2 linked regions of the Drosophila melanogaster genome follow. The protein of the gene in region 2 purifies or fractionates together with the protein of the main gene of each other region. This does not show direct contact. Each region holds a gene or a part of one and is shown on either strand. Other genes may lie near its edges.

What was found. Proteins that work in one complex are often made in the same cells at the same time.
Region 1: the proteins of SkpC (region 2) and morgue purify together in Drosophila melanogaster (affinity purification with mass spectrometry, with the first as the bait; one large-scale study listed by BioGRID). This does not show direct contact.

The regions. Positions count from the first base shown.
Region 1 is NT_033779.5:4,440,673-4,446,631, forward strand, and holds morgue (modifier of rpr and grim, ubiquitously expressed), read right to left. Parts: upstream 4,009-5,959; 5' UTR 3,936-4,008; coding exon 3,792-3,935; intron 3,730-3,791; coding exon 2,398-3,729; 3' UTR 2,198-2,397; downstream 1-2,197. Other genes in the region: Sfp24F (seminal fluid protein 24F), read right to left, coding at 798-1,249, 1,304-1,379; CG15432 (uncharacterized protein), read left to right, coding at 1,826-2,182; Elp3 (elongator complex protein 3), read left to right, coding at 4,139-4,160, 4,223-4,464, 4,521-5,386, 5,440-5,959.
Region 2 is NC_004354.4:19,812,976-19,819,069, forward strand, and holds SkpC (SKP1-related C), read left to right. Parts: upstream 1-3,096; 5' UTR 3,097-3,162; coding exon 3,163-3,639; 3' UTR 3,640-3,725; downstream 3,726-6,094. Other genes in the region: SkpD (SKP1-related D), read left to right, coding at 1-302.

The DNA of each region.
Region 1 (5,959 bases), on a different chromosome or scaffold from region 2:
CGATGATGATGATATTTTCTGATATTGTTCATTACATTGTTGTGCTTTTACGACTGTTATCCTTGAGTGAAGAACTTGCTACAGGATGCTAACACGGGCACACACACACACACTCTCGCACGCTCAAGCAGGCACCCACACGCTCACAAGCACACGCATGTGCGACAGGAGAGAGCTTTTACGGCACTTTTGGCCTAAACCGTTAGTTTCCGCCAGCAAAAAGAGAGAGAAAGAGCGAGCAGAATTTTCACCTTCGCACTTTCAACTTTATTTTTTATTTAACTTTTTAACTTTTATATATCAAATGCATTTGTTATGATTTTATTTAATAAATTTTCTTTTGTGTGTATGGACACAAAACACGACTTTGGCTCACACCGTTCACTTTGAAACCACTCATTCGAAATCACTTCGCTGCAGGAATTTCTCGCAGTGTTTTGGCCTGGGCCGATTATGAATATGTTTTTCAATTTTTAAATATTTACAGTCGCGCCTCCAGCGAACACAGCACACACGGTATGTCGTTCCGTCACCCGTTGGATTAGAACTGAATCTGAATGCCAGCGAAATGCTAACAAGTTCGTTCGAGAGCACGGCCAAAATTTCCACCGAGCTTTTCCTCGGCGTGGGTGGCGCAAGAGAGACGAAAGAGAGAGTGTAGCGGATTAAGAGAGAAAGCCCACACTGCGTGGCATTTAAATAAGAGCACCAAAAACCGTACACCTAATATTGAAAAATAAAGAGATAATAACTCAACTTATTCAAAATTTACTTTTCAAGTTGACAATGTTTTATCTTTACGGACATACATTATATTTCGGCTGAACTTCTTCGCAAATAAAAGAACTTTCAAAGTTGCAATTCCGATCGTTCATTCCTGGCGATTTTGTCGGTCTAAAATCACTTCCCAGTTCATCGCAATGCTCCTCATTATTTTTGTTATTTGGTTCTCCCCCGTACCACAAATCCGTTGACAAGGGCTGTCCATTGGAAAACCAAACATGTTTTCCCTTGGTTCCCAAATCCGTTCCGGAGGTCCAATATCTCTCGAAAATGTTATTAGCTAAAAGGTATTCGCTTACCAGGCGCAATTCGTCGAAAGTTTCAAGAGAGATTAATTCCGCTTGTTGTTGTCGACAAATTTCGTAGGCACCAAACCAATTTTTTTGAAGTTTTCGTTCAATGAGATAGTAACTGTTCCCGATCCTAACAAATGTGTCATTAGTTGTCTGAAGCGCCTCAAGAGCTCCTAATTAAATAATCAAAAGTCAATTACTTTATAATATATAAAAACAAAACTCACCGGCAACATTTCTAGAAACCTCAAACAGGAATAGTGCTACCAAAAAGGTAGTAGATCCAGTCAGTTTAACAATCATTGTGGTAATGATAAAAAATCCGGAGTTAGCCGTCAAGGCTCGCTAATTTCGTTAATTTAAGATTTTATTCGCTTATCATCTCAATTACCATGGGTAATACCGTTTAAGTTTTACATTTTGTATTCTAACAGTTGAATGTATGTAATGTCTTGAACAACTATTTTTAGTCTTACAGGACTGTTTTTATTTATATTAGAGGTTTTTAAGTTATTTCTTGTTAGATTAAGGAAACTTACCACAAAAAACAAACAAAAATAACGTATTTTGTAACATTTCAAATGTATTCGATAAAATGCCATCGATATATTTCTGGTCAGGTAATAACATCGAATATCAGAAATTATGTAAAGATAACAACGTGCAGTTGGTGTAAACAAAAACAAGAAAAACGTAAACAGATCGGATTCATTACCAATCCATTTCCAGATTGAAAACCCATTAAAGACATGTCCGACGAGTACGCCTGCGTGGCCAAGGGCAAGCTTAAACTAAAGAACGATTCGGATCTCAAGAAGAAAAAGAAGAAGCACAAGGGCAAGGACAAGGAGAAGGAGCTGCAGAAGGCGTTCGTGGAGCAGCAAATAGCGGAATCGGGGGCCACATCCTCCTCCGCCACCAGTGGCTACGAGCGGAAGCTCACCAAGGCCGAGCTGGCCAGTAAGAAGCAGCAGGAAAAGATGCGCAACAAGCGAATCATGGACAAGGCACAAACCACCCACAAGGAGCGCGTGGAGAAATTCAACGAGCACCTGGACACGCTCACCGAGCACTTTGACATCCCCAAGGTGTCCTGGACGAAGTGAGGCGACGCCGCTCGTAACTTAAAGCATACATTTATTATAAGGTTAAGTAATTTCGACTACGTTTCAACCTGGAGCGCAGGAAAAGTGAGAGGGGAGGCCAAAATAAACAATCCAGATGGCACAACTAAGCTAAATACACAGGCATATGTAGTTACAACGTAAAGAGGGGTAGTTTCCAACTTTCAGTCCATTGTCCTTGGAGGGCTTTTGATCTTCTAGCGCGGTGCAATTAGCTCGTACATGGCGTACTTCCATGTCCACGCGCGCACCAGTTGCTCGAACCTTTCGCGCTCGTGCTCATAGATGTATCCAAGTTCAGGCTCCATGCAGACTTCGGTATACGGATCGGTCAGCAGGCTCTGCACAGAAAGCAGCACCTTGGCCACGTTCAGCGCCAGAGACCAGTTGTGCTGCTGGAAGATGTCGATGCCCACGTCCCCATGCCGCGAAACATTCGGATGCAGGATTTTGGTGAGGAAACGTACTGTGGGCGGCGTCATCGGATATCGCTCCGGGAAGTATATGAACAGGAAGAACTTGCCGCCTTCGTAGGGACTGCCCGGTGGCCCCAGAATTGTCGCCTGCCAGTAGTTGTTTTGCCGATCCAACGGTATGGCCGATATGCCCTCAGATTCGTAGCTGTTCAGCAGATTGGCTTCACCGCGCAGAAAGTTGTTGCGCATTACATTGCCCGGCTCCCGATCGCCCAGCTGTGGATCTGCCTCCTGTGCATCCTGACCCCGACCGCCCATCTCAATCAGGCAAGTGCGACAGAAGCAGGAAGACATCAGTGCCCCGTACAGCCGATACCAGTTTGGATTGTCTGCCAAACTGTCGAACAGCGGCCAGCGCTGCTTGATATACGCCTTCCACATGCTCTGGGCCGTGTTTTTCCCGACAATGTCGTGCCATTGCTTGCAAACTTCACTAGCCATCCACAGCGACATGTCGTCCAAATAGGCAAATATTTTCAGCATCACCTCGACGGGTATTATGTTGACAATGTTTCTGCTGCTGCCACTTGCTCCGCTTCCGCTGGCGGCGTTGTATTCATGCACTCGCGCCCTTCCATCGGCCAGCTCATGCATGTAATGGGGCAGAGCCAAGGGAGCCGTGGCCCGCGGACGCTTAATGGGCAGCAGGAAGGGATTAATGGCTCTCTCGTGCTCAAAGTCGCGCTCCGGAGACTCGCGTCGTGGTGCCGCAGCCTCCGGCACCGGCTGTGGCAGATCTATAACTGGTTGGGCTGGCTGTTGATCCTGTGGCTCCATTGGTGGCTGCGGATTTGGATGTTGTGGCACGGCTGCCGGTTGGGGGTCCTCCAGATCCTCAAAGCCCATGATGTCTACGTCGTTTTCGGTCTCCTCGTCTTCCTGCTTGTCCTTGAACGGCGGCTCGTCGTTCCCAGAATCCTCGTCATCGGAAAGCTCCGTGAGCAGCTCCTCCGCCCGCTGTGCGTTGTACAGGAAGGCGTGGCAGGCGCCGCACAACGGCTCCCCGAAGTTGGGCCCATAGTAGCCGTTGCACACCCAGCAGGTGTTACTATTCTGCAAATTGGAAAGGCTATTTATTAATCGGCCCGCAAGAAACTAGCCTATTGTATACATACCGAAAAAGAGAAGGTCGGCTCTACCAGCTGGTGGTGTTCCTGGTCCGGATCGTCCGGGTCGTCCATCTCGTCGCCACTGCTGGCCAGTTCCTTTAGCAACTGCTCCTGGTCCTTTTGCTGATGCGCTGGCACGCAGCTAGTCATTTTACAGAACTCCCGAGAAACTGGTGCTAAAACAAATAAATAATCGACAAACGATAGACCATCTAAAAGTGTTACCAAGTGGTGTTAGCTTCAAAACCTGTCAAACAGTGTTGTGGTTATCGGACTATTGGTCGGTCGATAACCGAATCAAAACAAGTGCTGCTAACTTCACACGTGCAGTTTATGTGATATTCATCAGCAAAATGAAGGCAAAAAAGAAGTTGGGTAGGTAACGTCGCTACGAAAGTAATTCTTTAAACGTCCGTTTACCCCGCCAATTATTTCAGGCGTGGGATTGAGCCGCCAGGAACGACAGGTGCTCGTCATCGGGGAGATCATTCAGGAGCTGCTGAAGGCGCACGAAGCCAAAAAGGATGTAAACCTTAATCGGATGAAATCATTGGTGGCCTCCAAATATGGACTGGACAGTTCGCCGCGCCTGGTCGACATAATTGCTGCCGTGCCGCAGGACGCCAAAAAAATTCTGCTTCCAAAGCTGAGGGCAAAGCCCATTCGCACAGCAAGTGGCGTAAGTCGCACTTGCTTACACAAGGCGTACTATTCATTTCAATTATTTCAATCCAGATCGCCGTGGTCGCCGTCATGTGCAAGCCGCATCGTTGTCCGCACATCAATATGACCGGCAATATATGCGTCTATTGTCCCGGCGGACCGGACAGCGACTTTGAGTACTCGACACAGTCGTACACAGGCTACGAGCCGACCTCGATGCGAGCCATCCGGTCGCGGTACGATCCTTTTCTTCAGACCCGACACCGCGTTGAACAGCTGAAGCAGCTGGGACACAGTGTGGACAAGGTGGAGTTCATCGTAATGGGCGGTACGTTCATGTGCCTGCCGGAGGAGTACCGCGACTACTTTATCCGCAACCTACACGACGCCCTCTCCGGCCACAGCAGCGCCAATGTGGCGGAAGCCGTACGCTACTCGGAGAAGTCACGCACAAAGTGCATTGGCATCACCATAGAAACAAGGCCAGATTACTGCCTAAAGCGGCACATATCGGATATGCTTAGCTATGGTTGCACCCGGCTGGAAATCGGTGTGCAATCGGTTTACGAAGACGTGGCCAGGGATACGAACCGCGGACACACGGTGCGAGCGGTGTGCGAGAGCTTCCAGCTGGGCAAGGATGCTGGCTATAAGATCGTGACGCACATGATGCCTGATCTTCCCAATGTTGACTTTGAACGCGACATCGAGCAGTTTATCGAGTACTTTGAGAACCCTGCCTTCCGCTCTGACGGCCTAAAGATCTATCCCACGCTCGTCATTCGCGGCACTGGTCTCTACGAGTTATGGAAAACCGGGCGATATAAGTCATATCCGCCATCCATGCTTGTGGACTTAGTGGCGAAGATTTTGGCCCTTGTACCACCATGGACGCGAGTGTACCGCGTACAGCGCGACATTCCCATGCCGCTTGTTAGGTAACTTGTCCGATATATATATTAAATAAACCTGACATTTTTCTTCATTTTAGTTCCGGCGTGGAACACGGAAATCTCCGTGAACTGGCGCTGGCCCGCATGAAGGATCTTGGAACCACTTGCCGCGATGTTAGAACCCGCGAAGTTGGCATTCAGGAAATCCACAACAAGGTGCGCCCTTACGAAATTGAGCTAATTCGTCGGGACTATGTGGCCAATGGCGGCTGGGAAACGTTCCTCTCATACGAAGATCCTGAACAGGACATTCTCGTAGGCCTTCTTAGGCTGCGAAAGTGCTCACCGGATACCTTCCGCCCGGAACTGAAGGGCGAATGCTCCATTGTGAGGGAGCTGCACGTATATGGCTCAGTCGTGCCGGTTAATGCTAGGGATCCCACCAAGTTTCAGCACCAGGGCTTCGGTATGTTGCTGATGGAGGAGGCGGAGCGAATTGCTCGAGAGGAGCACGGCAGCACAAAACTGGCGGTCATATCGGGAGTGGGCACCAGAAACTACTATCGCAAAATGGGATACCAACTTGACGGACCCTACATGTCAAAGAGCATAGAAGAA
Region 2 (6,094 bases):
TTCTGACCTGGGCCTATCACCACAAGGACGATGATGACCAGGCAGCGGAGGGCGAGGAGTTGACCCCGCAAAGCCCACATGACATCTCACCCTGGGACGCCAACTTTATTAACGTCGATCAACCCATCTTGTTCGAAATTACAGTGGCCGCCAACTATCTGGAGATTAAGGGCCTAGAGGATCTCTGTTGCAAGACGTTGGCCAATATGATTAGGGGAAAGACTCCCGAGGAGATCCGCCAGACGTTCAACATCGAAGACGATTTACCGATCGATACGGCCGAGTTGGGCGAAGACCTGTGAGGCACAGAGAAGAAGAGGAAACTTCACCGGAACCTTACTTTGTTGAGAACTTTTTTGTTTCGCCTAGATAAATATACTAATATTATATAATATATATATATATATATACCAGTGTTGGAACAAGTACATTTTGTGTTACCTTAGAAAGGTGGCATGTTATGGACTATGATAAATAAATAAGGTTAGATTACAATCCCAGTGGCTATTCGGACCGATAATTGGTATCAAAGATAATTACCTTTAATCAATTTAGAATGAGAGTTGATCTGTACTGTGCTGTAGTCTTCCACGTTTTAGACTCTAAAAGGTAATAATTTTAATATATACAAAACGATGTATTTAAAATCAATTAAATAATGAAAGTGTGGATATATGTATAGTATAAACTATTTTTATGAAATATGCATATAAGATCATTTGGATGTTTGGTTCAGACTGGTTACGTGTAACGAAAAGAATTGATGGAAGGCAAGGGAACCTGTACTGGCGGATGCACGCTTCAGAATCCGGCTCTAGCTCTTTGGCGTTGTGGGGTGGTGGTCTATGCTTGCGACAAAAGAATATAGGAGTTAGTATACAAAATCGGAGGAAGCAAATTAATATATTCGAACGAAGATAGTTCAAGAAGAGAATGAAAGCATGAAACAATAGGTGTACCTATGACCTAGCTTTCCTTGAGAGCAATGGCTCTAGTGGCCCCTTATGTGCCCTATGTCCGGAGAAACATCAGCCGAGTTCAGTATTTTAATTTTTACATATTCATTTCTATCATTTGCTGACTAATGATTAATAACAATATTTATAGGAACCAATAATAAGTACATAACAAATTGAAATAAATTTAATTTGCTCAGAGTAAGGTGATAGATAATGACTTATGTAAGTTAAGAAAAAAAACTATAATTAAATAGACGTTAAGATGACTAAATATAATCTAAAAAAAAAAGAATAAATTATTTATTTAAGTTTTTCCATATTTCAGTTTTTTTTTTCAGTGTTGTTGTTCTTCACGATATTCTTGTTTTATAAATTATTACTTTTTTTTCAAATCAGTTTCTTTAATCAGTAAAAATTAAATGTAAGTGAGTGGGTTGCGGGTAAGGTCGGTTAGATTTTAATTAATATTTAATAGCTTATAGTCTAGCAATATAATTAGGGTTCAAGCAATTGTTCTCAGTGTATTCATTTGTCGCGTTAATCTGTATAGAATTTGTTCAACTTTGGGAAAAACAAGAGAGAATGCTATAGTCGAGTTCCCCGACTATCAGATACCCGTTACTCAGAAAAATCGATAGATATAAAAAAAAATTATAAAAATTTTAAAAAATTATTCCAAAGTGTGGGCGTGACCGGTTGGGCGGTTTTAGGGCGTTCGAGTGGGTGTGGCAAAATTTTTGTTTTTATCAATAGAAATTTACGAGACTAATAAAAATTTGAAATAATATCAACACGTTTTTCGAAAGTGTGGGCGTGGCAGTTTTGTGCGGTTTGTGGGCGTGGCAAATTAAATAAAAATTAAAAATACAAAAGTAATATAAAATAAGTCTCCTCCTTGGGTTCACATTTAAAGGAATTATTGCGAATAATTCAAATATTTGCGGATATAATTATTCAGAAAATTTCTCTCAGTGTACATTCGCAGTTTGATATCTTTCACGCAAGTATAGGTTTAGGTCCGATAGAATTTATCAATATGTTTACTTCAGCAGAAACTTCTCCCTCTGTATTCATGTCTTCTAACCCTAAAATTATTCTTGTCCACATGCTCACTTTTTTTAATTAATATATCTTTTAAGCATTTAAATTAAATACAAATCTTAGGGTTTTGGTTTATGTGCGGCTGCTGTCAATCGATGGGAAGGGGTGATCCCCGGGACGGCTCGAAAAGGGTGCTCCACAAGACGGCATGACTCGAGTTCATTTTTTTGCTGACCGCCTAATAGGTTAGAGCCTTTGCGTCAACTGGCACACAAAAAAAAAAACTTAAATCGCGTTCCGTTTGGCGGCTAGGAAAACTCACTCGAATAATGGTATTTTCGCACTTTGTTTTTGCTATCCAAAACGGACACTTTTTTGGCCGAATTGCATCCTCATCCTCGTATTAAGTACGTAATTAAGTACTAAAGCTAGCAAATCGAAATTCTTCTTTGTATCTTGGATTTAATATTAATATATTATTTTGGAACTCGGTTCAAAATACAGTTTTACGGTAACTGAAAATTTTGATTCTGTTAAGTGTATATATTTTATGGAAAGCAAGTTACACATAATTGGAGTGTTTCATAAAACAATAATAATACAGTAAAAGGGAATGTTAGAATCGCTAATGAGTATGTAACAGGTAGAAAGTGCCTTCTGTCCGTCTGTTTTTCAAATGAAAAAATATATATTTAATTTAAAGTTTTTTTGAAAAATTAGAGCAAGTAATGTAAGCCCACGTGCTATTTTCCAGTTCCCTCTGTTAAAAATATTTTTTACGGGGTTCTTTCCGGAACTATTATTTTGAAATTTTTTGATTGAGCACTTACCCAACATTCATATAGGTTTTAAAATTCATATTACACTTTTTTTTATTACACTTTTAAGGTCTGATATGATAAATAAAACACGATTCGCGATTCTCAATAAAAAAGCTAAAGCGAATCTACAGTTCTTAATGTTAAGACTTCCAATTTCTAGTGTGTACACACTTGACGACAGTGATTCCGCAGTGATCACATCTGGTCACTCTGTTCTCTATTCTTTTTTCTTTGAACTTTCGAATCGTCCAGTTGGCACGTGCTCTATCAATCATCCCATCTTGTTCTTCTGAATCTCTTTGAACGTAGTTTGGCAAATAGAAAGGCAAGGCAAACCGAAAATGGATGCTCCCACCATCAAGCTTGAGTCCTCGGATGGGATGATCTTTTCAACGGAAGTCCGAGCCGCCAAGCTCTCCGAAACCATCAAGACCATGTTGGAGGTCTCTGCCGTGGAGAACGACGAGAATGCCATTGTGCCGCTGCCCAAGGTGAACGCGTTCATCCTATCCAAGATTCTGACCTGGATCTATCACCACAAGGACGATGATGCCCATGGAGCGGAGGGCGTGGAGTTGAGCCCGCAAAGCCCACATGACATCTCAGCCTGGGACGCCAACTTTATTAACGTCGATCAACCCACCTTGTTCGAAATCATACTGGCCGCCAACTATCTGGAGATCAAGGGCCTAGTGGATCTCTGTTGCAAGACGGTGGCCAATATGATTAGGGGAAAGACTCCCGAGGAGATCCGCCACACGTTCAACATCCCGGACGAAATACCGAGCAGGACGGCCCAGTTGGGCGAAGACCTGTGAGGCACAGTCTCTTTCGGAGCAAATCCGGTTGGGACACCTGGAACCTTCCTTTGTTGAGAACTTATTTGTTTCACCAGAATAAATATGATATTACGAGTATTTTTGAAAGCATATCTATTGTATTTTATCAACATATTCAGTTTACAGTTTACTTTGGCAACAAGAACACATAAAACATAACTTTTTAAATCGTTTCATGTTCGCTTGGGCTAAAGGAGTGCTCTGGCTCTATTCCCAGTTGATTGCCACCAAGCCGCCCGGGGATACAAGCACACACCACACACCACACCACACACCGACCCACTCCACTCCATAGCACCCCAATCCCGGAATCCTGGTGCTCCTTAAGCCGGTTCCTGATTTGGCAGCCACGCTAATTTCCAAAAGCCTTGGCCGTTGGCGCTTATGAGCTCTGCATCCATGAAGTTCGCATTACGTATGTAAAATAGTGCAGAAAACCCCCAAATGAACCCAAGCCCAGGGTCCCAATCCTCGTATTCCAAACCCTTGGACACAACTTACGCACTTTACATACCGTTGCGGGGTGGGGAGGCGGGTGGTGGGTGGCAGGAGGCTGGGCAATGTCCTTTATTGTAAGTTAAGTTGCTGCCCACACATCTGTGTGTGAATGTGGGAGGGGGCGGCCTACGGCTTGCCACTCGCCTTTCTTCGTCCGTTTCATGTGTGCTTGAAATTTAAAATGCTCTGTGGAAATTGGTTTAGTCATGTATGTATGTATGTATGTATGTATGTGCCCAGTGTGCGTTTGTTTGTGTGTGTGCTTAGGGGGTGAAAGCATACACATACAAGAATGTCAGGTGGGCGTATGTGTGTGCGTGTATATGTGGCCATTGGTTTTCCTGCATAAACATAACAAAAATATAGCCAAATGTGCCACACTCGACTTAAGATTCTCAATTGTAAAGTACGCAATGTATGTACATATGTATACATATATTTATGGAAATATAAAAATATTAATATCAAAATTTATTTACCTTGTGCTCTGTAATTTGTTGAAAATTGAATAAATTTCAGAATGGTATGCTATATAGCTGCTCAATAAGAATAATAATGCAGTGGATATAATTATATGTTTGTTCTAAACGATATAAATATGTACGTTGTATCATTATTATGAATATTATCATCATTATCAACTTTACAAGAAATGCACGTATATTACACTTCAGTGAGAAGACACTATCCAAAATGTGTGCCAAGTGCTGTCAGTTTTGCCCCACTGTGCACCACGCCGCACAATTGCCTCGGGCGATTGTTGTTGCTAACTGTGTCGGTGATAGCGGAGCGAGCGGATAGTTTGCTTGGCCATAAGTTGTGAGGCATCCTTTGTAGTTTGCAACCGCATACCCATTTCATCAGGCATGCTTGTACATACATACATACATACATATGTATGTACATACATAATGGGCAAGTCGGCGACACACTTCGAAAGGATTAAATTCTGTTTTAGTAATTAAGTTGAAATTTATAATCAAGCCGAGGGTGGACCAGTTATGTACAGGCCCATCGACATATCCCAGTTTGGCCAACTTCTGGTCATGCGTATGCGTGCTTCTGAGCCACTTTGTCTTGGCCAAAGTAGTTTTCAAGTTGTGCTGCTGCGGCTGCGGCTGCTGCTGCTGCTGCTGCTGCTGCGACTACAGACAAACAAATGGAAAGTGGAAAATGGAAAATAGAGTATGAGGTATGCCCACCATGCCAGCCACGACTCTGGAGTGAAAGTTTTCGCCAGCTCTTTTTTCTGGTAACTTTGGCATTCGCACGCCTCAGCGCATTCGCAATCCGAGTTCAAATCCATAGCATACTTTTGCGGGCGGCATGTTTAATTTATGGCCGTAAAGCGCATGCATGTGTGTGCGTGTGCGTGTGCGTGTGTACATGCGGATGTGTGTGTGTGTGTAGTTTTCTTTACGCTCTTTTAAGGTGGACCCAGTGACTTAGTTCCCACAGCGAGACAGTATATTTTATATTTGGGTTGAAGTCCTGCCCAGAAATGCAAAATCACGGCAAAATTCTTGTTTTTATTTATTTATTTTTATTCTTTAGCCTGGCAGTGACAAGCGGAGGCGACACTGATGCACTGCAAAAAAAAACAACAACCAGTGCTTGGACATCAAATAAAGGAGAAACTTTAAGCACGTCATGAATTTAGCTCATAGGTACTAGCATTGTTTTAATTGATTTCCCATGAATATATGTATTTATTATATTTATGTATATATTTTAATGCCTTTAGCATTGAAATACAATACCGATGACTGCGTAAGATTTCCGCATTTGCCGACCTTATTTCTCAGTGCACTGGTCGTGGCCAGAAATCAAGCTCTCATGAAACACCACCAACACCAACACCAAGCATCCAAATGGGGTGGACTAAAAGGGTTGTCTTGTCCTTGTCCGCCTGTGACGGCCAGCGAAAGTTTTACAG